Mus musculus: one gene and its partners. The protein of the gene in region 6 interacts with the protein of the main gene of each other region in a pairwise test. Links are inferred from orthologs where the notes say so. Each region holds a gene or a part of one and is shown on either strand. Other genes may lie near its edges. The genes, in order: Prkaa2, Setd5, Smarce1, Lnx1, Usp2, Mtus2 and Enkd1.

Region 1 (4,377 bases), on a different chromosome or scaffold from region 6:
TAAGTGATTTGCCCACTGGTAACACTCTGGGCATGCTTTGGATTCCCTTTTATTATTATTATTATTATTTTTTACTTCCATCCTCAATACACTCATTTCTTTAATGTGTTTTTACATCATTTTGTTTCCCACAATTCTTTGATCCCTTCTGTGTTTTGTCTATGTTCTACATTTACCTGCACATGTAAATTATTTCCTATTTCTTTTAGTATTTCTCCCTTGTCCCGTATATAATGCATATCTACACACATGTATGCAAGTGCTGAAATATACTTAGGGCTGTGTCTATGATTTATTGGGAAATTTTGTTCAAATGAGTTAGAATTGAGAGTCCTGAAGAGAATGTCTTTTATCTCTATAACACGATTGTCTATATAACTGAATGAAGAAAAGAAATAAAAGGAGACCATAACTGCTCCTGGGTATGGTGGATGTGCTGGCTTGTCATATGGCAACTTGACACAAGGTCATCTGAAAGGAGGGAACCTCAACTGAGAAAATCCAGCTGTAAGGCTTAATTAGTGATTGGTGGGGAAGGGCCCATTGCGGGTGGTTCCATCCTTGCGCTGGTGGTCCTGGGGTCTGTAGGAAAACAGGCTGGACCAGCCCTGATGAGCCAACCAGTATGCAGCAACCCCTCCCCAACCCCCCATGGCCTCCGCATCAGCTCTTGCCTCCAGGTTCCATGCATTGAGTTCCTGTCCTGACTTCCTTCAATGATGAACAGTGCGGTGGAGGTGTAAAAAATAAACCCTGCCCTCCCCAACTTGCTTTCTGGTTATGGTGTTTTATCGCAACAATAAAAGCTTTAACTAACACAATGAGGAAGGCCTGTTATAGATAAAATGAACATACAGGCAGAAGCAGAGGCAGAGACACATGGTCAGACTCAGCAGGGCCATGTGAGGAGAGAGAGGGAGGGAGAGCAAGAGAGGAGCCAAGCCTAAGAGGGGTGGGTGGCCTGGGCTAAGAAACTGGCACAGCCAAAATGGCTGAATTATCTAGGGATCAGAGGACCTGAGGGAAGGGGCAGCTCAGTCCCCGGGCTGGAGAGTTCAGGGTAGGGGTCAGGGTATGCCAGGCAGGAGGACCCTATACCAGGTGGGGACTAAGGGATGCTGAGAGAACCAGCGTCACGTCACCTTTGCTATGTTAATGCTAGGCGTCTCCGTTGGCAGTTTGTCTGGGGGTTGAGACCTAACAATAACACGACCAGGAACTACAAAACAATGGGACGCCATCTGAAGAGGGTACGGACTAGAACGTTCCCAGACAAACAAACCTTGGCTAGGGGGAGCGTGCCAGGGGCTAGGGGCGGGCCGCCCTCTCCAGCGCCTTGCCCTCTGGTCCCGAGGCATGGCTCACGGTCTACACCCCGTCACCCCCACTTCTCCTCAGATTCTCCTTCCATCTCGGTCGCGCTCAGATTCATCCCTTCCATCTTCACCGCCCTGGGCTTTTCTCGGGACGCCTCGGCTCTGCTCCCCCAGCCTGCGTCCACACGCGCCGGGCTGCGCTCTCCCCACCGCGCCCCGGGCGTCCCCGTCCCGCCCCCCGGGCCCGCTGCACTGTGGGTAGGCGGCGGCGGCGGCGGTGGCGGCGGTAGCGGCGGCGGCAGCGGTAGCGGCGGCGGCGCTCAGAGCCCGCGGCAGGGGGAGCCCGTGCGCCGAACATGGCTGAGAAGCAGAAGCACGACGGGCGGGTGAAGATCGGACACTACGTCCTGGGGGACACCCTGGGCGTCGGCACCTTCGGCAAAGTGAAGAGTGAGTGCAGCGGCGCGGGCGGGCGGGCAGGCGCGAGCGAGGCCGGGTGGCAGGTGGAGCGCTCGCGGGCGAGCCCGGGGCACAAGCACCTGGAGCCGCAGCCCGGGCGTGGGTCCGGGGGGACCAGCGGTTATGGGGTGTGCCTTGGCGGGGGGTGCCTCCGAGCGCCCTGTCTTTTCTCTATGCCTCAGCTCGCTTGTCTGCAGAATTGGGCGATTGGCCCAGTCCGAAGGGCCCCGAAGCGTGGGGAGGATGGGGGAGTCACGGCGCCCGCCGCGAATTGGGAGGGGGTCTCCCACTGGTGCCAAGTGCTCTGCGTGGAGCCTCATCTGTGGTCACACTTAATCCTTAACGTGGCACCGGCCGGGTGCGGTCCTCACCTTAAAGGTGAGAGAACTCGAGCTCCAAGGCTTCAGAGACACGCCCAAGGTCACAGAGAATTGGCAGATTCAGGGTGAGGTCTAAGATGTCCTCCAATTTTGGCCTTGCTGATGAGGTCCCTGCCTTTCCCAGATTCTTCCCTGTCCCAGTCCTTTGATGGTGGAGTTGACCAGGGGCATGCCCATAGCAGAGAGGTGCCAAGTCCCTCTGCTGGGTGTGTGAAAACGCTGGAATGCAGCGGGTTGGACAGAGAATTTAGGAGAACCCCTAGCTCTGTAGGTTGATTGGTTCAAGGAAGGATTCTGTGGTCAGGGTCTGGGAGAAAATGTTGCTTGGTGATCGACTTTGGGTCCCCAAGAGGTCAGACTTGCTTAGGCAAGGGGTATGTTTGTTGGTGAAGGGACTGCTTTGGGGGTTTTGGAAAAAAACTGGTTGCTTTTGAAATGTCACACTGCACTAAACTAGTTAAGTATTAAACTTTGCTTTGCTTTCTTATTAGTTAATAAGAGTCACATGGGGTTTGATTACCCGTCCTTTTAACAGAACTACAGCTCTTGTTAAAAAAAATACTTGGTAGCAAGTTGGGAATTAAAAGTGAAACATTAGCCTTTTGTTGTTGTTGAATAAATATCGGGTAAGCAGTCTGGGGATTTTATGCTGAGGCTTATTTTCTACATTTTAACCTCCAGTGAAGGTTTGAATAGAAGGGAGAGACTCCTCATTCCTGCGAGGATTAACTCCTCTTGGTGTATCTAATACCGGTTTGTACAACTAGAAAACACTGAATGCTCTCACCACATGCGGGGAACTGTTCTGGGCAACGGAGTTCTAGGAAAGAGCAAAACCTGAGCTCTCCTGGGACTTACTCGCTATGAGGGAAAGACAATCAGAATACATGTGAAAAGTATATGGCCCCCTCCTATTGAGAAAGGAGAACAGGGGAAGGAAGGATGGAGCCTTTTGTGAGGTTGGCAGATTATATTAAGGTGCCACGTGGCCTCACGGAGTGGGTATTTTTGTAAAGACCTAAAATGTTTGTAAAATTCTTTGAAGTCTTGTGAAGTTGGGATCTTGTAAGAGTTGTGGATAGTTGGGAGATGATAATGATAGAGATTAGATAATGATGTTGCCACCATCTTTGCAGAGAACTGCTTTGCTGTGGCATTGCAAAGTTATGCAAACGGCTGCTTTGCCATTTAGGGTAAGTTATATAACTTAGCCTATATGCTTTCATGTTCTGCTAAGTGCTTTTGTTTGCGCTTGCTTTTTTTTTTTTCCTCTTGATGTAGAGTGGAATACCCGATCTGATTTCTCAGGCCATTGTCAAGGGATAGTTCGAAAATATTTGGTTATAGTCTCTGTCTGCTTCTAAGCGCCAGCTTCCTAAAATATAAATGGAGCAGAAGGGACCTTTGGCTTATGAGAAAAATCTTTTTCCTGGAGAACCCTGCTGGAACGAGCTGTTTGGATTTCTCCTGACCATTTTATCTTCCCTAAAGAGATATTCCCTATGTGGTGTGATAGTTACTATTAATTGTCAAATGCACACAAGGAAGAAACACCTAGGAAGGGAAGCTTAATGAAGAATTATTTAGATCCAGTTAGCTTCTGCGCATGCTCAAGTGGGAAGCCCTCCCCCATTCTGGGCAGTACTGTTCCCTGAGTTTGGGTCCTGCGCTCTGTTAAGTATAGAGGGATGGGCGAGCATGATGAGCAGGCCTGCCTGCATGTGTTCTCTCTCTCTGCTGGTGACCGAGGATGTGCTTCACGTTCCTGCCTTGACTTCCCTCAAACGGACTGTAGCCTGGAAACTGAATTAAAATAAACCCTTTCTTCCCTAAGTCACTTTTAGTTGGGGTGTTTTATGACAGAAATTAAGCTAGGTCAAGTGGGTTTGTAATCAATACAGCTGTAGTTGTTAAGTCAAGGGGCTGGTGAAACAAAGTATATGCGTATTAAGAATACATTTTAGGGCTGGAGAGATGGCCCAGTGGTTAAGAGCACAAACTGCTCTTCCAGAGGTCCTGAGTTCAATTCCCAGCAACCACATGGTGGCTCACAACCATGTAATGGGATCTGTTGCCCTCTTTTGGTGTGTCTGAAGACAGCTACAGCTCATATACATAAAACAAGTAAATCCTAAAACTTAAAAAAAAGAGTACATTTTAATTTATTATTTGACATTTCATACAATGTGCTTTAATCAGAGTCCCTGCCCTTTCTCTTTCCA
Region 2 (3,682 bases), on a different chromosome or scaffold from region 6:
TGAGCACCATTGTTTGATAGAATATTTTTTGTCCTCACCAGTTTCTGAGTGGCTTGAGTCTGTAGCACTGCTCAGATCTCTTTTATACCTAAAAAAAAGATTGTTATATAGGGACTGGAAAGGTCCCTCAGTGATTCAGAGCTCAGTTCCCAACACGCACAGCAGATGGCTACAACTGCCTGTTGCTCTCCTCTCCAGTAGTGTTCCAACTCCTGCACTCAGCCTGTGCACACACACAGCTGTAAATACAGTAAAGGCTATTACAGTTGATACCTAAGCCACTCACTAATGATACATTTTCTTTTTCATATCTAGGTATCCTTGCTAGAGTACCGCAAAAGAAAACAAGAAGCTAAGGAGAATTCTGGTGGGGGAAATGACTCTTCACAGAGCAAAAGCAAGTCTTCAGGAGCTGGGCAAGGCAGCAGTAACTCTGTTTCTGACACTGGTGCCCATGGTGTGCAGGGATCCTCAGCCGGAACCCCGTCATCCCCTCACAAAAAATTTTCCCCGTCTCATTCCTCTGCATCGCATTTGGAGGCGGTAAGCCCGTCAGATTCCAGGGGCACTTCTTCCTCTCACTGCAGACCTCAAGAAAACATCAGCAGTAGGTGGTAAGTTTATGTTTAATTAGCTTTATAATTAAATTCAGGTGGGAAGTTACACATTCATTTCCAGTTTTACCTGAAGTTTTTGGAGCACTTATCTAAGACAGGCAGGTAATTTGCCATCTGTTTGTTCAGCTAGTTAGTGTAAGCCAAATCTTCTCCCTTCAGAGACTCACTGAACAGTGAGGTTTTGGGTGTCCACGCGCTATTTTTTTTTTTTTTTTTTTTGATGAGAGGTAAGTAAACAGTCCAGCCAAATCGCTCCCCTCCCCCACCCCTTGTGTGCACGTTCATATATGCACTCTTGGTCACTCATACATGCATATGGAGGTCAGAGAACACTTAAAGGAAATAGTTCTTCCCTATTTAAAGGAAATAGTTCTTCTGGAGATTGAACTCAGATCTTCAGACTTAACCTTTACCTACTGAGCCATCTTGCTGACTCTGGTTTTCTCAAATTGAAAAAGAGCTGTGTCCCATGCTGCTAGCATATACAGAGAAATGCAAGACGGTCTGAAAAGAGTTGTCTAGTTTAGAGGCTGGAGAAACGACTCTGGTTAAGCGACTAACTGATCTTCCAGAGGAGCCAGGTTCAATTCCCAGCACCCACATGGCAGCTCACAACTGTCTGTAACTCCAATCTTTGACACCCTTATACAGACATACATGCAGGCAAAACACTAGTGCACATAAAATAAAATAAAATAAAATAAAATAAAATAATTACCATCTCACAGTTTTGTGCTGGAGAGATAGTTCAGTGGTTAAGAGCACTGACTGCTCTTCCAGATTTCCTGAATTCAATTTCCAGCAACCACATGGTGCCTCACCACCATCTGTAATGGGATCTGATGCCCTCTTCTGGTGTGTCTGAAGACAGTTACAGTGTACTCACATACATAAAATACATACATACATGCATGCATGCATGCGTAGACTTGTCAAGGTTAGAAGGTATCATAAAAAATAAGTAATATTAATGACAAGTTCTCAGTATTGAATGAGATAGTTTCTTTTGTTTTTTTCTTTTGCAATTTTTTGACATAGGTCTCATAGCCTTGAACTCTTTGATCCACCTGTCTCTTCTTTCTGGGTCCTAGGGTTATAAATATGCATCACAGCTAGGAGTACAGCATTCATTCTTTTCTTTTTTCAGAGGTGGGGTGTCTACATTTGGAGACTCGAGACCACCTTACTTTATGATAAAGGATCGCTCACTGAACCTGGAGCTCACTGATTAATCCCGAGTCTCTGGCCAGTAAGCTCCAGGGATCCTCAAGCATGGGATCTTGAAATGAGCCTGGGAAAGAAGATACAGGTCTCAAAGTATTATATTCTTTAATCTCTAAGAATCCTATAAAAAACTATTTCAAAGCTGGGCATGGTGGTGCCTTAATTCCAGCACTCGGGAGGCAGAGGCAGGTGGATTTCTGAGTTCAAGGCCAGCCTGGTCTACAGAGTTGAGTTCCAGGACAGCCAGAGCTACACAGAGAAACCCTGTCTTGGAAATTCAAAAAAAAAAAAAAAAAAAAAAGAAAGAAAGAAAACTATTTCAAGAACACAGTTTCAGAGGAGGAAATTTCACATTCAGACAGAGTTTAAAAGAAGTTAATATCTTTAATCTACTTTTCCCAGATTGCTTTCTCACTGCCCCTACTTTTATACATTGCATAGTTTGAAGCAGAGGAAATGCCTTGTTCTCAGTAGGTCCTGGAGAAAATAGTGTAAGGATGGTTTAAGAGTCTGTACTACACCATCTTTATCATGGTGATTTGTTTCAGACTCTTAGCCCTTAATCTCTGTGGCTTCTGTACCTTTGCAGGATGGTTCCTACATCAGTTGAACGACTCCGAGAAGGAGGTAGCATCCCTAAGGTTCTTCGAAGCAGTGTGAGAGTTGCCCAGAAGGGAGAGCCTTCTCCAACATGGGAGAGTAACATCACAGAGAAAGAGTCAGGTGAGCTAAGGTCTGCAGTTCACAGCAAATGTTGGGATAAAGTAAGTTAGTTTCTGACCTACTCAGGTTCTGCTTTATGCTAGCTTCCAGCTCAGTCTTACTCTTTGGGCTACAGTATACGTGAGATCTAGCGTTGCTTGCTCTCTGTCTGCTCTTTTCCCAAGGGATACTTTTCTGTAACTCTCATCTCCAATGTTCCGGAGCTCCACCTTCATGAAGGATGAAGAGAAAGAAGGAGACGAGAATAAGATGAGGCATTTAAAATTTAGCGCATAATTAACCACTTACTATGCCCTTCTGGCATGCTGCGCTCATTTTTTCACAGAGATCAGCATGTATTGATGATTTGACTGAATGATACCTATTTCCTATGTGTTCTAAGAAGCCAAGTTGATTCTTGTAATGCCTTCCAGACCCTGCAGATGGAGAAGGCCCAGAGCCATTGAGCTCAGCACTCTCTAAAGGAGCAACTGTTTACAGCCCTTCCAGATATAGCTACCAGGTAAGTCAAGAGACTTCTGGGCTCTAGAGAAAGAAGTGCCTGTGGAGTTCAGATCCTGTGTTCCTAGTCGTGACACACTGTCAGCTGCTAAAGTCTGCATAGTATAGCCCTGTAAGTCAGGCATCTGCTCATCTGCTCACCTCAGGGATCTTTTTTTTTTTTTTTTTAATTTATTATTATATGTAAGTACACAGTAGCTGTCTTCAGACACCCCAGAAGAGAGCATCAGATCTCATTACAGATGGTTGTGAGCCACCATGTGGTTGCTGGGATTTGAACTCAGGACCGTCAGAAGAGCAGTCAGTGCTCTTAACTGCTGAGCTGTCTCTCCAGCCCCACCTCAGGGATCTTAGTAAAGCAAATGCATGCATCAGAAACTGATGTTTGACTGCTTTTGTTAGCCATTAAAATGTTCTGGGGGAAGGAGGAGCAGGCTAATGATGGCTCAGTGAGTGAAGGCTATCAAGCCTGATGACCTGAGTTTAATCCCCAGAACCCACACAGTAGAAGAAAAGAATGGACTCTTACTGGTTATGCTGTGTACTCCACATTACTGTTATAGCACACACACAACCTTTTTAGTGTGCAGAATAAAAGAATGTTATAAGCAGGTCAA
Region 3 (3,682 bases), on a different chromosome or scaffold from region 6:
AATTTATTATAAAGATAGTAGAGTTTGTGCTGTGATGTTAGTATTGTTTCAAAGTGACCAACACTCAATAGAAACATTAAGAAAAATAGCAACTGGCGCATGATAAAGGTAGTCAGTGAATGGAACGGATACCCTTTTAAGTTCATTGTTAAAGGAGTCCGTGCTTTCCAGGAATTTCCTCTTCTTTTCCTGGTGTCGTTCCTCTATCTGAAGGAGCTCGGCTTCTAGTTTCCGCTGTAAGGTGTCAGACCAGATATGTATCGTTATGAGTTTTCTCTAAGGCAGATGTAAAGTGCAGAGAGCATGCCATTTAAAGATATTACTTTCAAGTGTAATTTGACATTTCCATCGTGTGTACGTGCGTGTGGGTACGCACACCAGCGCAGGAGCCCATGGAGCCCAGGAGAGGGCACCGAATGGCCTGGATCACAGATGGCTGTGAATCACCTTACATGGGTGCTGGGAACTGAACTCAGGACCTGGGCAAGAGCAGAACATGCTCTTAACCACTGAGCCGTCTCTCCAGCCCACTAATTTTGCATTACAAAATGAAATCTAGCTATAATTTTAAAAGTCTAGCATAGAGGCATGCTGGGATTGATAAGATGTTAATGAATAAATCTGGGGGGCATTGAATAGTAATGTAGCAAAGGCTGATGGGATCCCTAAATCCTCCAGTTTGCATCCATCTCTTAATAGATATACATGCCACCACAATGTTCTATTACAGTTTTTAATGACAAAGTTGTTAAGCTTCCTGAATGGTCCCCTCCTTTCAGCCTCAGGTGGCTCTACTTCACAGGTCTACTTATGACTATAGCAGAGTCACACAGCTGCAGTTAGCTCTGAGGCTATTTGTAATTTGATGCTAATTCAGGTCTCCTGTGAGGGGCTGCACTTAGGTGATTTCCTGCAAACCTTCTTCCCACCTTAATTGGCAAAATAAAGGCTAGAGCTGGTGATTGGGCAAAAAAAGGGAAGGTGGAGCTGAAAGTTGAGAGGAGGAGGAGGAGGTGTGGGAGAGAGGAGGTAGGGAAGATGGGAGTGTAGCGGTAGATCTGCCCAATCTAGGGGCACAGCTTGTATTCCTATTAATCGAGTTGTGTTTTCATTGCTGGGGCATATTAGGGTTGGAGAATTACCGCAACATCACACTATCTGGGATGTGTGACACAGACTCCTTCTAGTATAATGAATGTTTTCTGAACTTACCTGATGAACCATTAAAGACTGGACCTGTCGCTTGAGGACCTGCATTCTAGCTGTTGTGACAACCGACCGCACATCAGGTACCACACTCTCACTGAGGATCTCACTGATGAGACGGTGGTTTCTCTGGAAACGGGCAGTGGCTGTGTGCTTCATTGAAAAGCCATCATCATAGTCTAGAATGAATGAAATGTCCTGGAAATTAGTGACCACTTATCACAACACAATGTGAACAAGCAGTCACTCAGTAAGTGTGGTCCTCAGTGTCCTAGCAGGTGGGCCTGCCTAACATCAGAGGCATCTGGGCAGGCTATGGTAAGAACCACAGAGACAGAAGATACAACCCACCCAAGTGTTGTTCTCATAAACCCACTAAGGCAGTGGTTCTCAACCTGTGGGTCTCGAACCCTTTGAGGAATTAAACAACCCTTTCATAGGGAGTACAGGTTGCATACTGGATATCTGACTTATTAGATATTTACATTATGATTATCAACAGCAGCAAAATTATAGTTATAAAGTAGGTACAAAAGTAGTTTTATGGTTAGGGGTCACCACACCATAAGGAACTGTATTAAAGGCTTGCAGCACTAGAAGGTTGAGAAGCTATAGTGATGTGTGCTGGGCAGTGGTGGCGCACACCTTTAATCCCAGCACTAGGGAGGCAGAGGCAGGCGGATTTCTGAGTTCAAGGCCAGCCTGGTCTATACAGTTAGTTCCAGGACAGCCAGGGCTACACAGAGAAACCCTGTCTTGAAAAAGAAAAAGAAAAAGAGAAAGAGAAAAAGAAAAAAAGAAAAAGAAAAAAAGTGATGTGGTGATGTGTATCTGATATTTGGTTAAAATACCAACAACAAATGCTCACATCTCTTTTAGTCCTAGGATCCATGTAACACCTACATGTGATGGCAGAACTTGAAATCCTGCCCAATGTTCCATTCTCCTAGTAATTATCAAAGGCATTTGATAGATGCTACACTATAACTGGGAAGTAGTTTTATCATGGTTGTTAAAATTAATGAAAATATCCATTTGTAAAAATTAACTTATCACCATCTTCTCTAGTAATATTTAGTGTTTTCAGGTAGTTTTTGTTTTATCACATTAAAAAATAGTAAAGACCCAAACTAATCTTGTAGAAAACACAACTTGATTTAAAGGCTGGGAGATGAAGCATTTGCTGGGCAAGCATGAGGATCTAAATTTGGATCCTAGGCAGCATCCAAGTAAAAGATGGGTGTGGCAGATCTGGAGACTCATTGGTCATTCTAGCTAAAATAGCAAGCTCTAGTTTCACTGAGAGAGACTCTGTCTAAAAATAGTGCAGAGAAGCAATTCAGGAACCATCTGGTTGTCACTCTACCTTCCACATGTACCTGGAGAGGGAAGCATAGTGCATACACCGACCCAACCTTATCACAAGAGATGAGGAAGGCACCCAACACCAACACACACACGCACACACACGCACGCACACACACGCACGCACTCACACTACTCACAGATACTTGATTCTAAACTTATTTTTAATTTTGCCAGTTGATACTTGTACATGGCTTGTAAAGGTGCCATCTAAACTTAGGTACATATAGCACACATTTGGCTTATATGTTTATGTGTGGGAGTTGTTATTTTTTTGGTGTAATGCATGCATGTGGTTTACAGGTGTGCACACACATGTACATACATGTGGAGGCCAGAAGAGGTAACACGTGTCTTCTCTATCTCTTTTTGCTTTATCCCTTTAAGTCAACACCTCTCACTGAACTGGAAGCTTACCATTTTGGCTAGGTTAGCTGCCCACGGAAGTGCCAGAATCTGCCTGTTTCAGCTCCCAGTGCTGGTGTTACGGGGATGTGCCAAGCCACGCAATTTACATGGGTCCTGGAGATGTGAACCGAAGTACTTGTGCTCACACCGCAGGGGGTGTGATCTTTTTGAGACAAAATTTCACTATGTAGCCCAGTCTGGCTTTGAACTCAAAGCAGCCTTACTTCCTGCCCTAGTCTCTTGAGAGTCATTTAAAAAGCCCTCTCTATCTGTGTGAATCTTGTGCTGGGATGCTGAGTGTGTGCCACCCCACCCAGCATGGATGCTCGTTTCCAGTAACCCCAGAGTATTTCCTTTATCCTGCTGTCCCCTCCATATGCATGGTAGCAACCTGAATCAGTATTTGCTGAATAGTCTTTTTACACTAACTCATTAAACAAAGCAAGTGTTTTCCTCCAATATAAATCAAAACAAAGCTTGTCTCTGAACCACCTAATCCCCCTTTAAAAAATGATTTATGCACAAATGCTCTTATCTGCATGTACACCTGCATGCCGGAAGAGGGCATCAGATCTCATTATGGATGGTTGTGAGGCACCATGTGGTTTCTGAGAATTGAATTCAGGACCTCTGAAAGACCAGTTGGTGTTCTTAACTGCTGAGCCATCTCTCCATCCAGACCTAATCCTTCTCGCACTTCAGA
Region 4 (3,682 bases), about 73 Mb from region 6:
TCATCACTCAAGAGACCGAGGCCGGAAGATTGTGAGTTCCAGGCCAGCCTGAACCACACAGCAAGACCCTGTTGCAGAAAACCTAAATGAATGAAAGAAAGAATGAATGAATAAATAAGTAAATAAATAAATAAATAAATAAATAAATGTTTATTTTAAGTAGTTCAGTTACAACATGATTACTGTGCTCTTTCTTAAAAAAAAAAAAAAGAATAAATAAAAAAAGAGCCAGAGCGATGGCTCAGTGGTTGAGGGCTGACAAGCTTGAGGGCAGAGTTTGATGCCTAGAACCCTCGTGGCGGGAGAGACCTGACTCCCACAACTTGTTCCCTGACTTCTTTGTGAGCTCCTCCTATGTATGTGTGTGTATACACACACATACTCACACTCACACACCCACAAATAATAAGTATAGAAAAGGACGGTAAATAAGTAGAAAAATAAAGACTTCAATCATACAAGGCAGTGGTTCTCAGCCTTCCTAAGGCTGCGACCCTTTAGTACAGTGCCTCATGTTGTGGTCACCTCCCGCCCCACTAAATTAGTTTTATTCTTACTTCATAGTTGTAATTTTGCTGCTGTTATGAATCATAGTATACATACCTGCATTTTCTGATGGTCTGAGGCAACCCCCACGACAATGTCGTCCAGGGTTTGTGTGATAAACGGAGAAGACTAACATAATCAGTAGCCCTGTGTCAGGCCAATGCCACTCAGAGGAGTTCTTTAGAATGACTTCTGCCGGATCAGCAGCTGTGTCATCTGACACCCTCTCCAGCAGAACAGTGTGTTAGCTAAATCATCACCAGTTTCTGACCAGACCGTTGTCAGCGAGCTGAAATGATTGGCCCAGTGGCAAGGAAACATGTTCGTAAAACTAAGGATCCAGATAGGCTCAAACGCTGGTCTTCAGAGCCCTGGGCATTCCTCCCTCTCCCTAATGTGCCAATGATGGTCTACTTTACAGTGTTTGGGTTTTGGGAAAATGCAGTGAATAAAATGGATAGAGAGATGGACAGAAAGATCTCTGTTGTCAATAAAAAAAAAAATCAAAGATGTTTTTCTCCCCCGATGCTGTGAGATGTGACATCTTTCAGTGTGTGAGAGCTCCTGGCATTGACTCCTCTGAAGAGCATGCAAGGCGCTACCAGACCAACCTAGCAACAGGAATGGAAGCCATCACACCCGCCCCCTAGAGACTAGCAGTTCCGAGTAAACCTTGTGGCTTTGTGGCGAGTGCGATTCTGTTTCCATGGTCGGCTAAATACAGGATCTGGGAGTGGCCTTGAGTATTTATGTCCAATGCTGTGGGATCTAACCCAAAAGAAAGGGGTGAGAATGTGATTAGGGGTTTTGGTAGTCAAAATAAACAGTCACCAAGTCCAAATGTTAGAGATCCCCGTCCTCAACCCCAGTCAGGTAGATGTGATTTCCTACTGCTTGACAGTAGAGATTATATGCTAGGAGAATATAACAGGCAATTAAAAACAAATTATTTCTCAAGTCATTAATGTATTTGGCCGGCCAGCATATATTGAATTCTTATATGTGAAAGGGAGGGGTGTACATGGACAAGCATGTGTATTGATTGGGGAAGTTCTGACTAAACATTCTAAGTGCCCCTCTGGTTTTATTCCAGCTGCAAAGGGGCCTCCCACTATGGCCTGACCAAGGACAGGAAAAGGCGCTCTCAAGATGGCTGTCCTGATGGTTGCGCCAGCCTCATGGCAACGACGCTCTCCCCAGAGGTTTCTGCAGCCGCCACCATCTCTTTAATGACAGATGAGCCTGGCCTAGACAACCCTGCCTACGTGTCCTCGGTGGAGGATGGTGAGCCAGTAGCCAACTCCTCAGACTCTGGCCGGAGCAACCGGACTAGGGGTGAGTCAAAAATGGGACGGTGTCTGGGAATGGGCCCGTGGTTTTCCCTGGGATTGCCCTCTGTAGAATACCCGTGGTGGAAAGTTCTCAAAATGTTTTTTTAAAGGGGAAATGGTTCTGGTAGTTTTGGCCGACACTCAATGTCCAGTTCTCCAACAGGAAATGAAAGTTTAAGTGACCATGTGATCTGACTTGGTAATGGAGGGTGAGGTGAGGTCTGATGATTTACAGTTCCTATAGAGAGGGTACCTCCCCTGCCTTCTTTGGAAAGTAATGTTCTATCCACTCCCATCCAAGGGGGAGAAGAGATTTTTTTTTTTTTAAATAGTGAGATATGTTATTTTACTACATAAAAAATTTAGAACTACAGGTAAATAGTGATCACTGTTTTAATATCCCAATGTCCCAGTTCATACGCTTTAGACCGAAAAGATTTCTTTTTTGCTTGTTTTGAAGCAACACCTCACTCTGCACCAGGGCTGGCTCTGGCCTCCTGAGCTTCCTGGCTACCTCCTGAGTGCTGAGATCACAGGCACACAGCAGCACGCTTAGCTAGCAGATGGTTGCGGTGAGCCTGTGCCTCTCATCTCCATTGATCTCTCTCTCTCTCTCTCCTCAGCACGGCCCTTTGAGCGCTCCACTATGAGAAGCCGGTCTTTCAAGAAGATCAACCGAGCTCTAAGTGCTCTCCGGAGGACGAAGAGCGGGAGTGTCGTTGCCAACCATGTTGACCAGGGCAGGGACAACTCTGAGAACACCACTGTCCCCGAAGGTAAAGGGAATCTCCACTGCACCCCGAGGCTGGCTGTAGGCTAGTTTGCCAGAGTCACTTGAGGGATGGTGGTAGCCTGACCAATGTCCACCCTCTGTGACCTCTGTCTTTCCAAGGGTACATAGCCTTGAGTGACCTCCTCATTTGAGTAAGGACAGGGACTCTTGGTTTCTTTGTTGTCTTTTTACACAGGTGAGGAAAAATTCGTCTGTTCCTGGGCTCCAGGTGCTGGCTTAATGCACATGAAAATAATGATTATAGTTAGAGTGTGAAAAGCATTTTACTTCATTCTCACCCAATGGCACTGTGCACAGGCTTCTGCTAAAACAGAAAAAGCCACAGACACTGCGAGTTCTATATAAACTGACAGCAAGTTAGTGCCTTTGTTTTGCCTATTGTTTTGATTTTCTTTTTTTAAAGAATTATATATATATATATATATATATATATATATATATATATATATATGAATGAATGAATACACTATAGCTGTCTTCAGCCACACCAGAATAGGGCATCAGATTCCATTACAGATGGTTGTGAGCCACCATGTGGTTGCTGGGAATTGAACTCAGGACCTCTGAAAGAGGATTCAATGCTCTTAACCACTGAGCCATCTCTCTAGCCCCTGTTTTGATTTTTCTATACTAATTTATTTATAGTGTGTGGGTGGAGGTGGCTGTGCACACCTACATACACATGTACTCACGTGCCACAGTGCATGTGACTCATGTGACTGTCAAAGGACAACTTGCAAGGGTTGGTTTTCTCCATTCACCATGAGGGTCCTAGACTGGAATTCAGCAAGTGCCTTGAGCCACTGACCCATCTTGAGGGCCCTTAAAAAGCATCTTAGACTGAAGCTGGCACATTGGCTAGACTAGTATTCTTAGTGTACACGTACCTACACACACACACACACACACACACACACACACACACGGTGCTCTAAGTGTTCTATGTGCTCAGACACCCCATGACCACGGCACATTTCCAGGTCACTGGTATCTCACTGGTGTGGCTCTCAAG
Region 5 (4,288 bases), on a different chromosome or scaffold from region 6:
TGTTTTTATGATTTTTGTTTATGTGTTTGTGTGCACATGCACATTTGGAGCTCAGACCATGTGAGTTGGTGCAGAGGCAGGTGGATCTCTGTGAATTCAAGGATAGCCTGGACTATGGAGTGAGTTCCAGGACTACATAGAAAAACCTTGCCTTGAGGAAAAAAAAAAAAAAAGAGGGGCTAAAGAGATGGATGGCTCAATGGTTAAGAGCACTGACTGCTCTCCCAGAAGACCTGGGTTCAATTCCCAGCAACCGCATGGCAGCTCACAACTGTCTGTAACTCCAATGTCTGATACCTTCACACAGACATACACACAGGCCAAACACTAATGCACATAAAATAAAAATAAATTATTTTTTAAAAAAGAATAACTCTGATTTTTCTTAGGGGGTGTTATCTAATTTAACAATAAATAACTCTTAGAAGTCAAGTTTGCAGGCTGGATAGATGGCTCAGCAGTTAAGAGCACTGTCAGCTCTTCCTAAAGGACCAGGGTTCAATTCCCAAAATCTAAATGGCAGCTTACAACTGTCTGTAACTCCACCTCCAGGGGATCAATCATACATGCAAGCAAAGCACCATTGCACACAATAACTAATTGATTAAAAATAAAGTCATTTGCTTAAAATTAAAATACAAGTTGCATCTTTTTTTCTTATTCTAAACCTGATAGCTTAGATGAAATGCTATCCTTTCTTGGGCTAAGTCCTCCCAGTAGTCACCTAAGCGAACTGCATTAGTAGACATGTACAAGACACTTGACATTTATTTACCACTTGAACATGGTCTCCCTAGGCTTCAGCTACATTGTGCAATAGATGACTATAGTGGTTCTTTTACAGGACCATTAAAAAGATTAAATGAGAAAGCTAATATATGCAAAGTACTTATCACCATGTCTAGTAATGTACTTAATAAGTAGCCCATAGAATGCGTCACTTGAATAGTCATGTACGTTGATAGTGTGTTGAATGGACATAATCTTTTTTTACCTGATTGATTGACCTATGGGGCTCTATAAATATTGCTATGAGATATACATGGTTGTTTAAATAAATGCATTTTTAAATATAAATAAATAAAATAAAAAAGTAGGCAGAAAAAGAGTCTATGGAATAGAACATTCCCAGCCCGGTAGGAAAGCCTTCTCTAAGATCTGAAAGCTGGAATGTTGCCTTTTCCCGTGAAGTGACCCTCTGTCTCAGTCTTCCCAGCGCCAGGACCTATCAGATTCCAGTCCACTTCTTTCCTTGCGCCACCGGCTCCAAACAGGCGTGCTTTTTCTCCACGTGGTTCTCTGTATATACCCGGTTACCTGGGAGATGCGCGCCGGGCGGGGCTCTACTGACGCAACAATAGGAACAAGCCAATAGCCATGACGTATATCAGTGACGCAAACGCGGGGTGTGGTTTGGCCGGCCCGGGCGCAATGAGGCTGCTGCCCGCTGGGTGGCGCCGATTTCCCGGGGAGGTCCTTTCTGGGCCCCCGGCGGAGGTGGGGGAGAGGCGGGCAGGCACCGAGCGAGGCCAGGGAGCCCTCTGCGTCAGCCACTGCTCGCTGCGCCGCGCCAGTACCAGCCAGGACTCATCCGCAGCTCCATGCTTGTGCCCGGTTCGACTCGTCCATCCTCCGAGAAGAGGCAGGTACGTGCCACCTGTCGCAGGTCGGGGAAGGAAAAAGCCAGGGTCAGTACCAGCTTTGAGACTCGGAAAGTAGGGTGTCAAAGGCAGCCTGGGCAGTCTGGACGTGAGAAATGTAGGGCGAGGGCCAGATGTGTGGAGGGGGAGACTCCAGCTGTGGGTGCCAGTGTATGAGAGGGGCTGCCAGCTGCCAGCTCGGGGTGCCAGGAAGAGCCATCTGTGTGCTGATCAATGTGTTCTGAGGAAACACTGTAACCGCGGGTACAGGTCTCCCCGCCCTGTGTGTTGTGTAGCCCGAGAATGACCCCTGGACCCTGACACCCCCCTCTCCCCACGTGTGTGTGCAGCTAACAACCTCCCTGTTGTTAAACATCCCGGGGCTATCTCTTGGTCAGTTTTCCAAAGCGGGGGAAGGGGCTTAGGGGAAGCTAGCAGTTAAGCGGAAGGGAAAAATTTTCCACCAATCCCAAATCAGAAAGAGGCAACTTTGAAATTCTCACCAATCCCAAAGCAAAAGCAGCCATGCAATGTTCTCTGACATGCAACTTGCCTAGGGGAGTCCTGGTCAACCGTTTCTAGCTCTCCAGAGAAAAGAGAACTCCTAGCTCTTAACCCCAGAGCTTTTGAGAATGAAGTTGAGTTGAAGATTCTAGTAGGGGTTGCTTATCTCCCCCAAACACGGGCATATAAGCTTGCACACACACACACACACACACACACACACACACACACACACACACATCAAACCACAAAACAAGAGGCATGGAGAACTGATGGATGGCCTGGGGTGGGGGATGTCCCCTACTCTTTGATGCTGTAGGCGCATGCCGCTCTGGAATGAGGATTGGAATGAGGGCGTCCTCCAAAGTGCATCACCAGGACCCAGTCTGAGTCAGTACCTTGTGCTGAGACAGGGTGGAGGCACCAGCCCTCGGGCCTTCCAGTCTCCAGGGAGAGCCATCAAGAAGCAGAAGATTCCTCTTGGGAGCAGACAGGTGCACCGAGGCCAGAACGATGGTCCTCTCATGACCCTGTCCAGCCTGCCTTTGACACCCTGGAACCCTGAGCCCTCCAACAGGTAGACTGGAACTGCTCCTCTGGAGCCAAACATTCCCTGGCAGCCCAAGGAAGCCACACTTGATTTTTTTTTTTTTTTTCTGAGCAAAGGGGAAAGGAGCCCAAGTAGGCTTGGCCTGTCGCCTTGGGAAAGTGGCAAAGTCTGTCTGACCTTTCCATTTGGGGGACGTGGATTGTTTCAGAAAACTGCAGGAATATTATTTGCCATCAGCAGTTTCCTGAAAGGTGGCCCAAGGCCTTTTTCTTCTAGGGTTGCCTGCTACAACTAACATTAGTGACTTGACAGTGAACACGGCCAATAAGCTTGTCGTTTGTTGTACTCTTGCTATGTTCGAGGAGACTTAAAACTATTATTTTATCCTCACCATTGTGAGACATAGTCACGACTGTTGTTATTCATGGGTTTTGTTTGTTTGTTTGTTCCTTTGTGGTTTTTTGTTTGTTTGTGTTTGGTTTTGTTGAGACAGAGTTTCTTTGTGTAGCCCTGGCTATCTGCTTTGTAGACCAGGCTGTCCTTGAACTCAGAGATCTGCCTGTTTCTGTCTCCCAAGTGCTGGGATAAAGGCATGTGTCACCATGCTAGTTCTATTATTCATGTTTTACAAACTACATAGCTAAGATTCAGAGACCTGAGTATCCTCACAAGCTATCTTAGATCCAATACAGGAAAGAGTAAGAATTCAGGCCTAGACCTACAAGTCCACCTTAAAAACAGTAGTGGACTGAAACCCAAGTGCTGATCCTCCACCCCCTCTGTCCATGTCCATAGGACGAGCTAGGTCCTCCCCATCTTAAAATTCTAGCATCTGGTTTAGCAGTTTGGCCTCTTCCTGTTCGCTCAACCTGTGACTGACAGCGCTAGAGAATCCACCTTCTCCATGTTTGGGACTCAAATTTATCCCCAGCCCTCTGCCCCCCATCCCCCATCCCCTTGATCCTTCCTGTTATTTCCAAATATTCCCTCCCAGGATTCTAGCTCATTCTCAACTTTCCTCCAGCCACTAGGCATCGGGTGGACGGTGGGCTTGTCACTGCCCCTTTAATTCTCCTGGGGCTTGGAATGCAAGTGAGTTGCCATCTCGGAGAGGTCAGATAAGATACTATATATATCTAGCTAGCGTAACCTGAGCTCCGGATTACCCAGGCCCGGTCAGACTCCAGCCTCTGGAGGCTACACAGCAGTCTTTTCCCTTCGGGGAAAGAAGCCCCCAGGCTCCATCCAGTGCCCCCAACACAGGTCAGTAGCTCTCTCTTTGGTGTCTGAGCTTCAAGGACAGCTAAGTAAGCCCTCAGTGTGTGTGGGGGGGGGGGAGCATTTGAGAGGCCACCCACTGGACCTGGTGAGTGCTGTAACCAAATGCTCCTCAGGGTATAGGGACAGAGGACAACTGAAGCCCTAAAGGAGGGGAGCGAGGACGCTCTAGAGCAGGGAGCCCTAGGAGGGGTACTTGGGCATGAGGAGGGGAAAGAAAATTGCAGGCTACCTTCTGCTTCTAGGAAGCCTGTTTCTTTGCCTTTTCTTGGGCTTGTAGAGATAGCCATCCTTCCTAACACCAAGTCAAAAAAAA
Region 6 (4,228 bases):
AGCTGGTGCCTGTCATCTGGAGTGTGAGGCTCAAGGAAGAAGCTAACCAGAGCTTCTGTAGAGAGTTTAATGAACACTGTCAGCCGATGTGGTGGAAGATGGTCAGGTCTGCCTGTGGGATGGGGGTGGGGGTGGGATGAGTCCCTGGAGGAGTGGGAGTGGCCCGAGGAAGGAGCTGTAGCGCCAGGACCTCATTCCTTGCACCTGGGAGGCATGGGCTTCACAGAGCACCCAAATAGGAAAGTGAATGGCACAAAGGAGGCTTTACTATCTTTCTAGGTTTAAGTCAGGCTGGGGTTTGTGAGTTAGGGGAAGGGAGGGGCGAAGGCTTAAATGAAATGAGCTTAAAGTTTGATTTAGATTGGACTGGACTTTGTAATAACAGCCAGTCAGACCGCTTGTTAACACCCGAAGGTGACAGGAAAAGCGATAAAACGTGCCCTAGATTCCTCCAGAAGAAATGGGAGGCCACATAGAATAATGTAAAAAGACAGCCGTGTGAAAAGTGCTCTTTCATGATTTCCCTTCACAATATAGACCAGTTAGTACAAAAATTCAGCTGGTATAAAATGTTGCTCGGCACAGCAATGCTGGGGTGGGGGAGGGAGCCCATTTTCCCCACACTCCCGACCCCCAAGAGAAAGCGAGCAAGCACATCAGTAAGCCAGCATCTCATTGTCTTCTCTGTCAGTCTGTCCCAAATCTTGTGAGCCAGAGGCTGGAGAAGCCCCCCGGCTGTCTTCAGGCTTCCCAGGTGCGCTGCTTTCAGGCGACCTGGAAGGGCTACTGAGAAGTCCTGCGTTCATGTTTACTTCTGAGGAACGTTGTGAACTACGAAGCAGACAAGCTTGCGTTGAGACAAGAGTCTTTCAAGTGGGTAGCCGGCTATGCATTACCCCTAGATTTGGAGGCAGAGGCAAGAGGATATCTGTGAGTCTCAAGTGAGATCCTGCCTCAAACACCCCAACTCCCCCACCCCCACCCCCGCCAAACCCGCACACAATCACACACAAAACCCTTACAGAGACTTCTTTAGTCTCCTGTCCATCAGCCCCGCTACATCCCTTGCGAGTTCACCCGCTGGACCCCAATTCTTCCTGCTGCACGCAATTAAAAGAGGCTCTCTCTTCCGATTGGACCACAGCACATCCCACTCGTGGGAGTCAGGAGTCTAGGTCAGCGACCTCAGGCTGCTTCTCCTTTCTCTGGGGTCTGAGGCTGGATGCTCCGGACCACTGTGGTCCCGTGAGCTGCCGGGTCGTGTCGGGCCAGCAGAGGGCGCTCGGCTCCCCCCACGGGGCTCCGGACGAGAGGAGGCGCCGGGGCTCGCGAGCATCTCCGGGCGGCCGGGAGGGGGTGCGCGCCTCGGGCCGCTGCAGCCCGGCTTCTGTCACCGCGGACGGCACCTCACTGGAGGGTGGGCGGGAGCGGCGTCTTTGTCCGGCGAGGCGTCCTCAGCCCGGGCCATCCCTGTGATCAGAGCCCGGCGGCTTGGGCGGTGCCCAGTGGTGAAGTGCGCGGGCGGAGGGCTGGCTGCGGCCACGGCCCCAGGTACCCCGGTGCCCTAAGCTCGCCACCTGCGCCACCTCAGCCCGCGCTCTGTCAAGTTGCAGAAGACCCGGGTGGGTCAGGAGTCTGGACGCGTGGGCGCGTTGCAAACTCCAGCTGCGAAGGAGCTGCGTGCGGAGGTAGCCCGGCCCGGGATGCTCCCGGAGGCTGCTCTGGTCTCTCTGCACATCCTTCTTGGCTCCTCCAGACCCAGGTGAGCGACTGCTGTCCGCGCGTCCCGATCCGGCTGGAGACAGGTGCAGAGCGGGGCGGAGGCGGTGCCTTTTGCTGGCTTCTCTGGCATCAGAGAGCCCGCTCCCCGCTGCCCACATCTTCTGCTCCGCCGGAGAGAGGCTGCAACCCACTCGCACCTTCCGGGGATGTCAGGTTGAGCACGGTGTTTCAGAGGCGACAGCGGGTTAGCCTAAGCGAGCTCCCACCCCTCTCCACCCCCAGCTCGGGATAATTCGGTCCGTGTCTTCGTCTTAATTTAGCACCGATGTGTTATTTCCTTGGAGCCCTAGAATGGTAAGGCTTGCTCCATCCATTTTTCAACCCCCTTCATTCTGAGTCTGTGCAGGGAAAGGCTTGCAAGTGATGTTACTACCGTTCTATTTTAAATACAAACACCCAGAGAAGTACGCTTGGCGGCGTGCCAGAGGCGCCTGCACTCTTTTGTTATGTAAGTGCTTCACAGGAATATTTGCTGGTTGGTAAAGTTAGGAGCGGTTACCAGAGAACGTAAGAGCGCAGGAAGTCAGAGCCATAATTTCTGTCTTAGCTCAAAACTTTCCTTCAGGATAAGCATGAGATGGTTTTGGTATCATTTAAAGGCGACAGGAGGTCCTTTCAAAAGAAAAATTCATACCGTAGACTCTCAAGCGTTAAGACACAAAACAGGCTTTTTTTTTTTTTTTAAGTCTGTTATGAAAACCAGTGGGACGTCTCTGACAATAAATAGGTGGGAAGTGACTTAAAGAAATAGATCCCTGTCACATAGCCGTTTTGGCTTTTAAGTTGTTAGGTAGTTGTATTTTGCTGTCACGTGGACATAGCTAATCGTGTGTTGACAGTTATTAAAGATCTCTGCTCACACGTACCGTAATTTTTCAGGTACAAAGATGAGAGTGGAAAACATCAGATACGCATCTTGTTCTTACTGGTTTCTGGTGATGGCATTTGTTATGTGTGTGGCTCATGTGGAGTCAGGGTTGTGACTGTTGGTGGGCATCGTTTCGTGCTTCGTTTAGTCTCCAGCAGCATAAGGTGGGGCTCGGTGGGTTCGAGGTACCCCAGCCAGGCGTGTGACATATAGGGAGAGAAACTTGTGTTTGACTGGAGAGAAGCTAAAGATTTTAGCCCGGGTCTTTTTCATCTAAGTGATTTTCCTGCTTGTTTTCCTTGCAAAGAAAAGCTGTGTGTACCGGGGGTCCTTAGTACCACAGAGGGTACCCATGGGAGTCTTAGTTGGGGTATAGTGCATTGTGCAGAGGAAACCCTGAAAGTTCAGTAGTTTTGGGGAGAGGGAGTGCCTTCTTTTTGTTTGCATGATTTTTTTTTTAAAAAATTGTTTCACCAAGGATTATTTTTCTCACTGAATGGATGTTTTCATATACTATATAGGAGTGCAATCAGTCAATCAGGTGCACAAAAGCCTTTTTGGTAATTTTAAGGACAGAGGGAAAGCTGGCATCTTTTATAAGTCCACATTTCCACAGCTTGGGGCGGGCTTACAGAGGCTTTATGGGAGCTTATGTAAGAGCCACGACGGTGCTTTTGGTACTCGGTTAAACTCCCTGCTTTGGCTATTACATAATTGACATGGAACTAGGCTGTCAGAGCTGAAATCGTGAGGGAGAATGTATAAAAACCTAGGCTCATGTGGGATGCACACAACACACACACACACACACACACAGACACACACACACACAGACACACACACACACAGACACACACACACACAGACACACACACACACAGACACACACAAACACACACACACACACAGACACACACACACAGACACACACACACACACACACAGACACACACACACACACACAGACACACACAAACACACACACACACACAGACACACACACACACAGACACACACACACAGACACACACACACACACACAAACACACACACACACAGACACACACACACAGACACACACACAGACACACACACACAGACACACAGACACACAGACACACACACACACACACACACACACACAGACACACACACACACACACAAACACACACACACACACAGACACACACACACAGACACACACACAGACACACACACACAGACACACAGACACACACACACACACACACACACACACACACACACACACACACGGCTTTATAATGAATAGCTGCTGCCAAATTAGAGGGAGCAGCAGGGATGGTCGTTTGTGAACGGGAGATAAGAACTGTGTCAGGAGGATGGCTGGAATAGAAAACTGTTAGGTTTAACAATTTTCTAGAGACCTGAATGCTGGCTGAAACTACTGCAGCCCTTTCCATGCTGGCTATACAAAGAGGCTGGGAATCTTGGCCTTCTGGTCCCTCACCTGGACTTACTTTGGGAGGCCCTGGGAGGAGCACTGGCTGTTTATTGTGTGGTTTTGTAGTTTTGGTTTCTTTTTTAAATAGGGAGGA
Region 7 (4,352 bases), on a different chromosome or scaffold from region 6:
CAGGAAAAAAAAAAAAAAATGTAAGAAATAGCGGTGCATGCCCGTAGTCTCAGGAGGCTGAAGGAGAAAGAGTAAGGGTTTAGGGCCAGGATAGGTGATGGAGAGAACCCAAGGAGAGCCTGGGGCTAAAGAGCAAGCTATAAACTCAAAGAAATGAGCTGAGAGTGGTGGTCCAAACCCGGTAGACTAAGGCAGGAAAATTAGGCCAGTTCAAGGCCAGCCTGGGCTACATAATGGGTTTGAAGCTATTCTAGGCTACACAGGGAGACTCTGTCTAGAAACAAAGTAGCAGTGGAGATAGTGGGGTGGGGGTGGGGTATGGTTGGGGGTGGGAGTAGGAAACAACTCAGCAATAGCACAGGACAGTTCACAGCTCTCTGTAACTCCAGTCCCAGGAGGCCCATCCCCTCCTCTGGACTCTGGTGCACAGACAATCATGTAGCCACACAGACATGTAATTTTTTTTTTTAATCTCAAAGAAGTCATGAATGAATTAAAAGAAAAAGAGAAAGTAGTGTGGTAGTGAACACTTTTAATCCCAGCGCTCAGGAGGTGGACAAAGGAGAGTTAGAAAGTCAAAGAGTAGCCCGGCGTGGTGGCCCATGCCTTTAATCCCAGCACTTGGGAGGCAGAGGCAAGCGGATTTCTGAGTTTGAGGCCAGCCTGGTCTACAAAGTGAGTTCCAGGACAGCCAGGGCTATACAGAGAAACCCTGTCTCGAAAAAAAAAAAAACCAAAACAAAAACAAAACAAAAAAGAAAGTCAAAGAGTTTGAGGTCAGCCTGGGCTGCGTGAAACAGAGACACAGAGATAGGGGAACCGAGAATGAGTTAGCAGGAAGGTCGTGGGTATATTATATGAGTACCTAGTGTGCATGTGTCTCACGATTCCATCTCCAATATCACATGTAACTAGGTAACTTAGGTAGTTCTTTCAGATATGTACCCTGCTGGCTTTCTGTTCAAACCTTCTGCTTCTCCCCCTTACAAACTGAATTATGCCCACTATGCCCATTGCCCCTACTCCCTCTGATGCCAGAATCTACCTGTGGGGTTTTATCTCTGTGGAATGTTCTCTTCCTCTAGCCTAATCCTTGACCTGATGCCATCAGCTCCCCAGAGAAAGTCCACCCAGATGTCTTAGTCTTTTGTGATCACCATCTCCCCCAACGCACGCACTCATGAACGCACGCACACACATGCTCTGTAAGTTAGATCAGATATAATTGCCTTGGCCAAGATGGATAGGTCTGCCTCCCTGGGACAGATACCTTCATCCTGGCCTTGACTCGAGACTCCACATTGTCATACTTGGGTGAGCGCCACAGTGCCTTCAGTGGCTTAGGCTGACCCTGTTCCCGGCTGCGTTCCTGGTCTTGGAAGCGCCTCTGAATCTCTTTGATCCGCCTCAAGTTTTCCTTCTCATGGTCCTTTGGATTCTTCCCTGGAAGGGTGCAGGGAGGAATATTGCTAGGGACAGCCCTACCAAATGGCCATGCACCTCGGACTAGATCGAATATAGATTCACACCCTACCCTTGGCAGAAAGACCTCTCAGACAATCTGGGAGATGTCTGGTAGAAGAGAGGCCCTGGGTTCACACACACATACACACACATTTTTAAATACAACCAAGGCCTCTTCATGGAAGTTAGACATCATACCCACAGCACAGTTATCAGCTTATTCCCTTCCACAGTCACCCTCCTGGTTATCTTCTACATTTTATGATTTAGCATACCATTAATCACCGTGTATATTATACACATGGCCTGTCTTGTTCATTGCCTCCAACTGTGACTCCCATACTCCCCCCGCCAATTTTTTTTAAATTCACACATCCCAATTGTAGCCCCTCTACTCCCAGTCCTGCCTGTGCCAAATCCCCCCCCCCCCATTACCCCTTTCTCTTCTCCTCAGAGAAGGGGAAGCCTCCCTTGGATACTACCCTACCCTGGGACGACTCCCATACTTTTTAACCCCGTTTTCCTAACAGCTACAGGGTTTGGCACAAAGTAGGCACTAAGTAAACAATGCTCCATCAAGGTGTGAAAGCTTGAAGCGAGGGCTTTCTGCAGAAGGATAGACTCTGATCCTGCCAGGAGGTATTGTATTTTGCCCTTCTTTTATGCTAGAGAAACTAAGACCCAGAAAAGAACATTAACTGCATGGGCTCAAGGCAATTAAGAAGCACCCTATTTTAATCTCTGCTTTTGACCTAAGAATGCCTCAATACCCCGTCTGCAAGGACTTACTCTTAGGAGAGACCCCCGAACCGAGGGAGATGCACCCCAGTTGCAGCAGCACGTCCCCCACGCCTCGCTGGCCACGCTCTAGGATCTCTCGGGCTTCAGGCCTGATGCGAGGGCCACGAGGAGGACTGGAGTCCAGGTCCCGACCTGAAGTCAGCAGGTCCAGCTTCAACGCGTTTCCTTCCAGGCGTCCTTGGGCTGAGGAGCAAGACGCGGTGGAAAGCCGTGCTCAGGGGTGGGGCGGGGTACTCGCCCCGCCGAGGCACCCCGCAACTCACCCGAGGCCGGCCGCCGGTAGTAGTCCGGGCAGAGAGTGGGGTCTGGGGGGATGGGTCCAGAGATGCGGGACGGGCCCTCGCACATGATCCTACCGCAGCCCTGCAACAGTGCACCAGGGCCTGTTGCGCTGCGCAACTTTCCCCTCTAATCCCTGTCGGGTGCTTCCACCCTCCACCCGAGCCCTGCATCCCCGCGGTAGCCCCCATCACCGAGCCCCACCCCTCGACGACCGCCCGTCTCTAGGCGCAGACTGTACCACCGCCCCGCGACTAGCCCACTGCCCAGAGGGGTTCGCCGCCCCTCCCCCGCCAAGCCCCAGCGAGGGCTCTCACTGGAGCAGTTTTACCGCCAACTGTTGCAAGCCGGTAGGAGTTGCTGTTGCTTGGCAACAAATGGCTTCCTGAGGTCAGGGGTCAAATGACTAAGGCGAACAGCCTTCTGGGGTTTGTAGTTCCAGATGAGGAGTGATTCTAAGTCTCGGGTCTCAACAGGAGCCTTACCTCTCAACCTGTCTCCCCTACCAGCACTGAGTACCAGTCCAGCCCCGCTCTGGGCCTGAGGTTTTCTCTGATCAACTGTCGAGGGATGCACTGATTCCTCATAGCCTATGGCCTCAGAAGGGGCCAAGAGGCAGCCAGAAACCCAGAATGGGGCAGCAGTAGGGTTAGCCCAGGTTGCAGAGAGCCTTGAGGTGACTTGGGCATTTCAAAGCTCGGGAGATGGAGGGGTAGGGCAGGAGAGGTGGGACTCTAGGTAACCCAACCCTCTAACTGCCAGGCCAAGCCCTACAAGTAGAGAGGCCTAAGCTGGTTACCTTCATATTTTGTGGCCAATATGTAGTTAGGAGACACCACCACCCCCCCAACCAAGGGAGATGTACTCCAATTGCAGCAGCTTTGGGCTTTGAATAACTGATCCCCACAATACTTTGCCTGGCCATCGGCTCCCAATGACCTATGTGTATCTTCTAGTGTCCAGGAACAGAAGAGTGTCTGGTGCCGGCACATGAGACCTGCAGGAGCCCAGGCGAAGACAAGTGTCCCGTGGGGCACAGCTTAGAGCCAGAGCTCCAGGAGGAAGGAATAAAGGTGGGAGAGGAAGGGCTCAATGCAGGGGTGGAAGCAGGAGAGGAGAGAGGACCCAAGCCTACGTCATCCATCGTGAGACCAGCTCATGGGCCCAAGAGAAAGTGAGAGGGCTTTCGGAGGGAAGGGCTGGGAAGGTGGGTCTTATGCCCGGAGATTCCTAAATCCCCATTCCTTCAAGGCAGAGATTCTTGTCTTTGACCAATACCCCTCACTCCCAACTCTAGAACTTGGGGGCTGGGGGGTTGGTATGGATTTGGGACTTCTAGATCTTGCAAGGAGACTGAGCTACCATAAATGCTGAGCCTCTACTGGGCTTGGAGCTTCACTGTCTAAGAAATGGACAGCTAACTAGCTCTAGTGGACAGGCAGGGGTAAGCCCTAGGCTCAAGATATAGGAACCAAAGACTGAAGCCTGCCTCTTTCAGGCCTCTTGTCCCAGGTTTGGGTTCCCCAGCCCTCCCAGGGCCAAGCACCATGTCCATCCTAGGTCAGAAGTTGAGCTGCCACCGGGGGTGCTGCAGAAGAAGGAGGAGCCAGAAGGCAGCCACAGTGAATCCTCACTGTCCTCGAAACAGCACAAAAAAGCCAAGAAACGCAAGAGTGGCGGGGCTCCTGTGCCGCCCGCTGTGGCCAGCGCATCCGCACCCGCCGCCGAGACCTTGGGGTTGGAGCGTGAGTGGCAGTCCCTGGGCTCTTCTCTTGTTTTCTTTGTCTTCTGAGGCTGACATGGCACAG

The links.
Region 1: the proteins of Mtus2 (region 6) and Prkaa2 interact in binary tests that used the Homo sapiens proteins (3 or more experiments, as listed by UniProt). The link is inferred for Mus musculus from reciprocal best matches to the Homo sapiens genes MTUS2 and PRKAA2.
Region 2: the proteins of Mtus2 (region 6) and Setd5 interact in binary tests that used the Homo sapiens proteins (3 or more experiments, as listed by UniProt). The link is inferred for Mus musculus from reciprocal best matches to the Homo sapiens genes MTUS2 and SETD5.
Region 3: the proteins of Mtus2 (region 6) and Smarce1 interact in binary tests that used the Homo sapiens proteins (3 or more experiments, as listed by UniProt). The two-hybrid records come from large-scale screens. The link is inferred for Mus musculus from reciprocal best matches to the Homo sapiens genes MTUS2 and SMARCE1.
Region 4: the proteins of Mtus2 (region 6) and Lnx1 interact in binary tests that used the Homo sapiens proteins (3 or more experiments, as listed by UniProt). The link is inferred for Mus musculus from reciprocal best matches to the Homo sapiens genes MTUS2 and LNX1.
Region 5: the proteins of Mtus2 (region 6) and Usp2 interact in binary tests that used the Homo sapiens proteins (3 or more experiments, as listed by UniProt). The two-hybrid records come from large-scale screens. The link is inferred for Mus musculus from reciprocal best matches to the Homo sapiens genes MTUS2 and USP2.
Region 7: the proteins of Mtus2 (region 6) and Enkd1 interact in binary tests that used the Homo sapiens proteins (3 or more experiments, as listed by UniProt). The link is inferred for Mus musculus from reciprocal best matches to the Homo sapiens genes MTUS2 and ENKD1.

What each region holds. Positions count from the first base shown.
Region 1 is NC_000070.6:105,107,094-105,111,470, reverse strand, and holds the start of Prkaa2 (5'-AMP-activated protein kinase catalytic subunit alpha-2), read left to right. Parts: upstream 1-1,572; 5' UTR 1,573-1,672; coding exon 1,673-1,766; intron 1,767-4,377. UniProt on the Homo sapiens protein: Catalytic subunit of AMP-activated protein kinase (AMPK), an energy sensor protein kinase that plays a key role in regulating cellular energy metabolism.
Region 2 is NC_000072.6:113,147,125-113,150,806, forward strand, and holds part of Setd5 (histone-lysine N-methyltransferase SETD5), read left to right. Parts: intron 1-315; coding exon 316-614; intron 615-2,430; coding exon 2,431-2,564; intron 2,565-2,977; coding exon 2,978-3,066; intron 3,067-3,682.
Region 3 is NC_000077.6:99,213,902-99,217,583, forward strand, and holds part of Smarce1 (SWI/SNF-related matrix-associated actin-dependent regulator of chromatin subfamily E member 1), read right to left. Parts: intron 1,386-3,682; coding exon 1,213-1,385; intron 235-1,212; coding exon 133-234; intron 1-132. UniProt on the Homo sapiens protein: Involved in transcriptional activation and repression of select genes by chromatin remodeling (alteration of DNA-nucleosome topology).
Region 4 is NC_000071.6:74,626,319-74,630,000, reverse strand, and holds part of Lnx1 (E3 ubiquitin-protein ligase LNX), read left to right. Parts: intron 1-1,639; coding exon 1,640-1,881; intron 1,882-2,500; coding exon 2,501-2,653; intron 2,654-3,682.
Region 5 is NC_000075.6:44,065,575-44,069,862, forward strand, and holds the start of Usp2 (ubiquitin carboxyl-terminal hydrolase 2), read left to right. Parts: upstream 1-1,446; 5' UTR 1,447-1,646; exon of another isoform or gene 1,647-1,657; intron 1,658-2,463; exon of another isoform or gene 2,464-2,721; intron 2,722-3,854; exon of another isoform or gene 3,855-3,957; intron 3,958-4,288. UniProt on the Homo sapiens protein: Hydrolase that deubiquitinates polyubiquitinated target proteins such as MDM2, MDM4 and CCND1. Isoform 1 and isoform 4 possess both ubiquitin-specific peptidase and isopeptidase activities.
Region 6 is NC_000071.6:147,955,960-147,960,187, forward strand, and holds the start of Mtus2 (microtubule-associated tumor suppressor candidate 2 homolog), read left to right. Parts: upstream 1-1,360; 5' UTR 1,361-1,762; exon of another isoform or gene 1,763-2,076; intron 2,077-4,228. UniProt on the Homo sapiens protein: Binds microtubules. Together with MAPRE1 may target the microtubule depolymerase KIF2C to the plus-end of microtubules. May regulate the dynamics of microtubules at their growing distal tip.
Region 7 is NC_000074.6:105,705,296-105,709,647, forward strand, and holds the start of Enkd1 (enkurin domain-containing protein 1), read right to left. Parts: upstream 2,914-4,352; 5' UTR 2,862-2,913; exon of another isoform or gene 2,629-2,861; 5' UTR 2,614-2,628; coding exon 2,529-2,613; intron 2,449-2,528; coding exon 2,254-2,448; intron 1,444-2,253; coding exon 1,271-1,443; intron 1-1,270. Other genes in the region: 4933405L10Rik (uncharacterized protein C16orf86 homolog), read left to right, coding at 3,137-3,220, 3,501-3,718, 4,105-4,289. UniProt on the Homo sapiens protein: Microtubule-binding protein which regulates microtubule organization and stability. Promotes the stability of astral microtubules and facilitates the proper orientation of the mitotic spindle.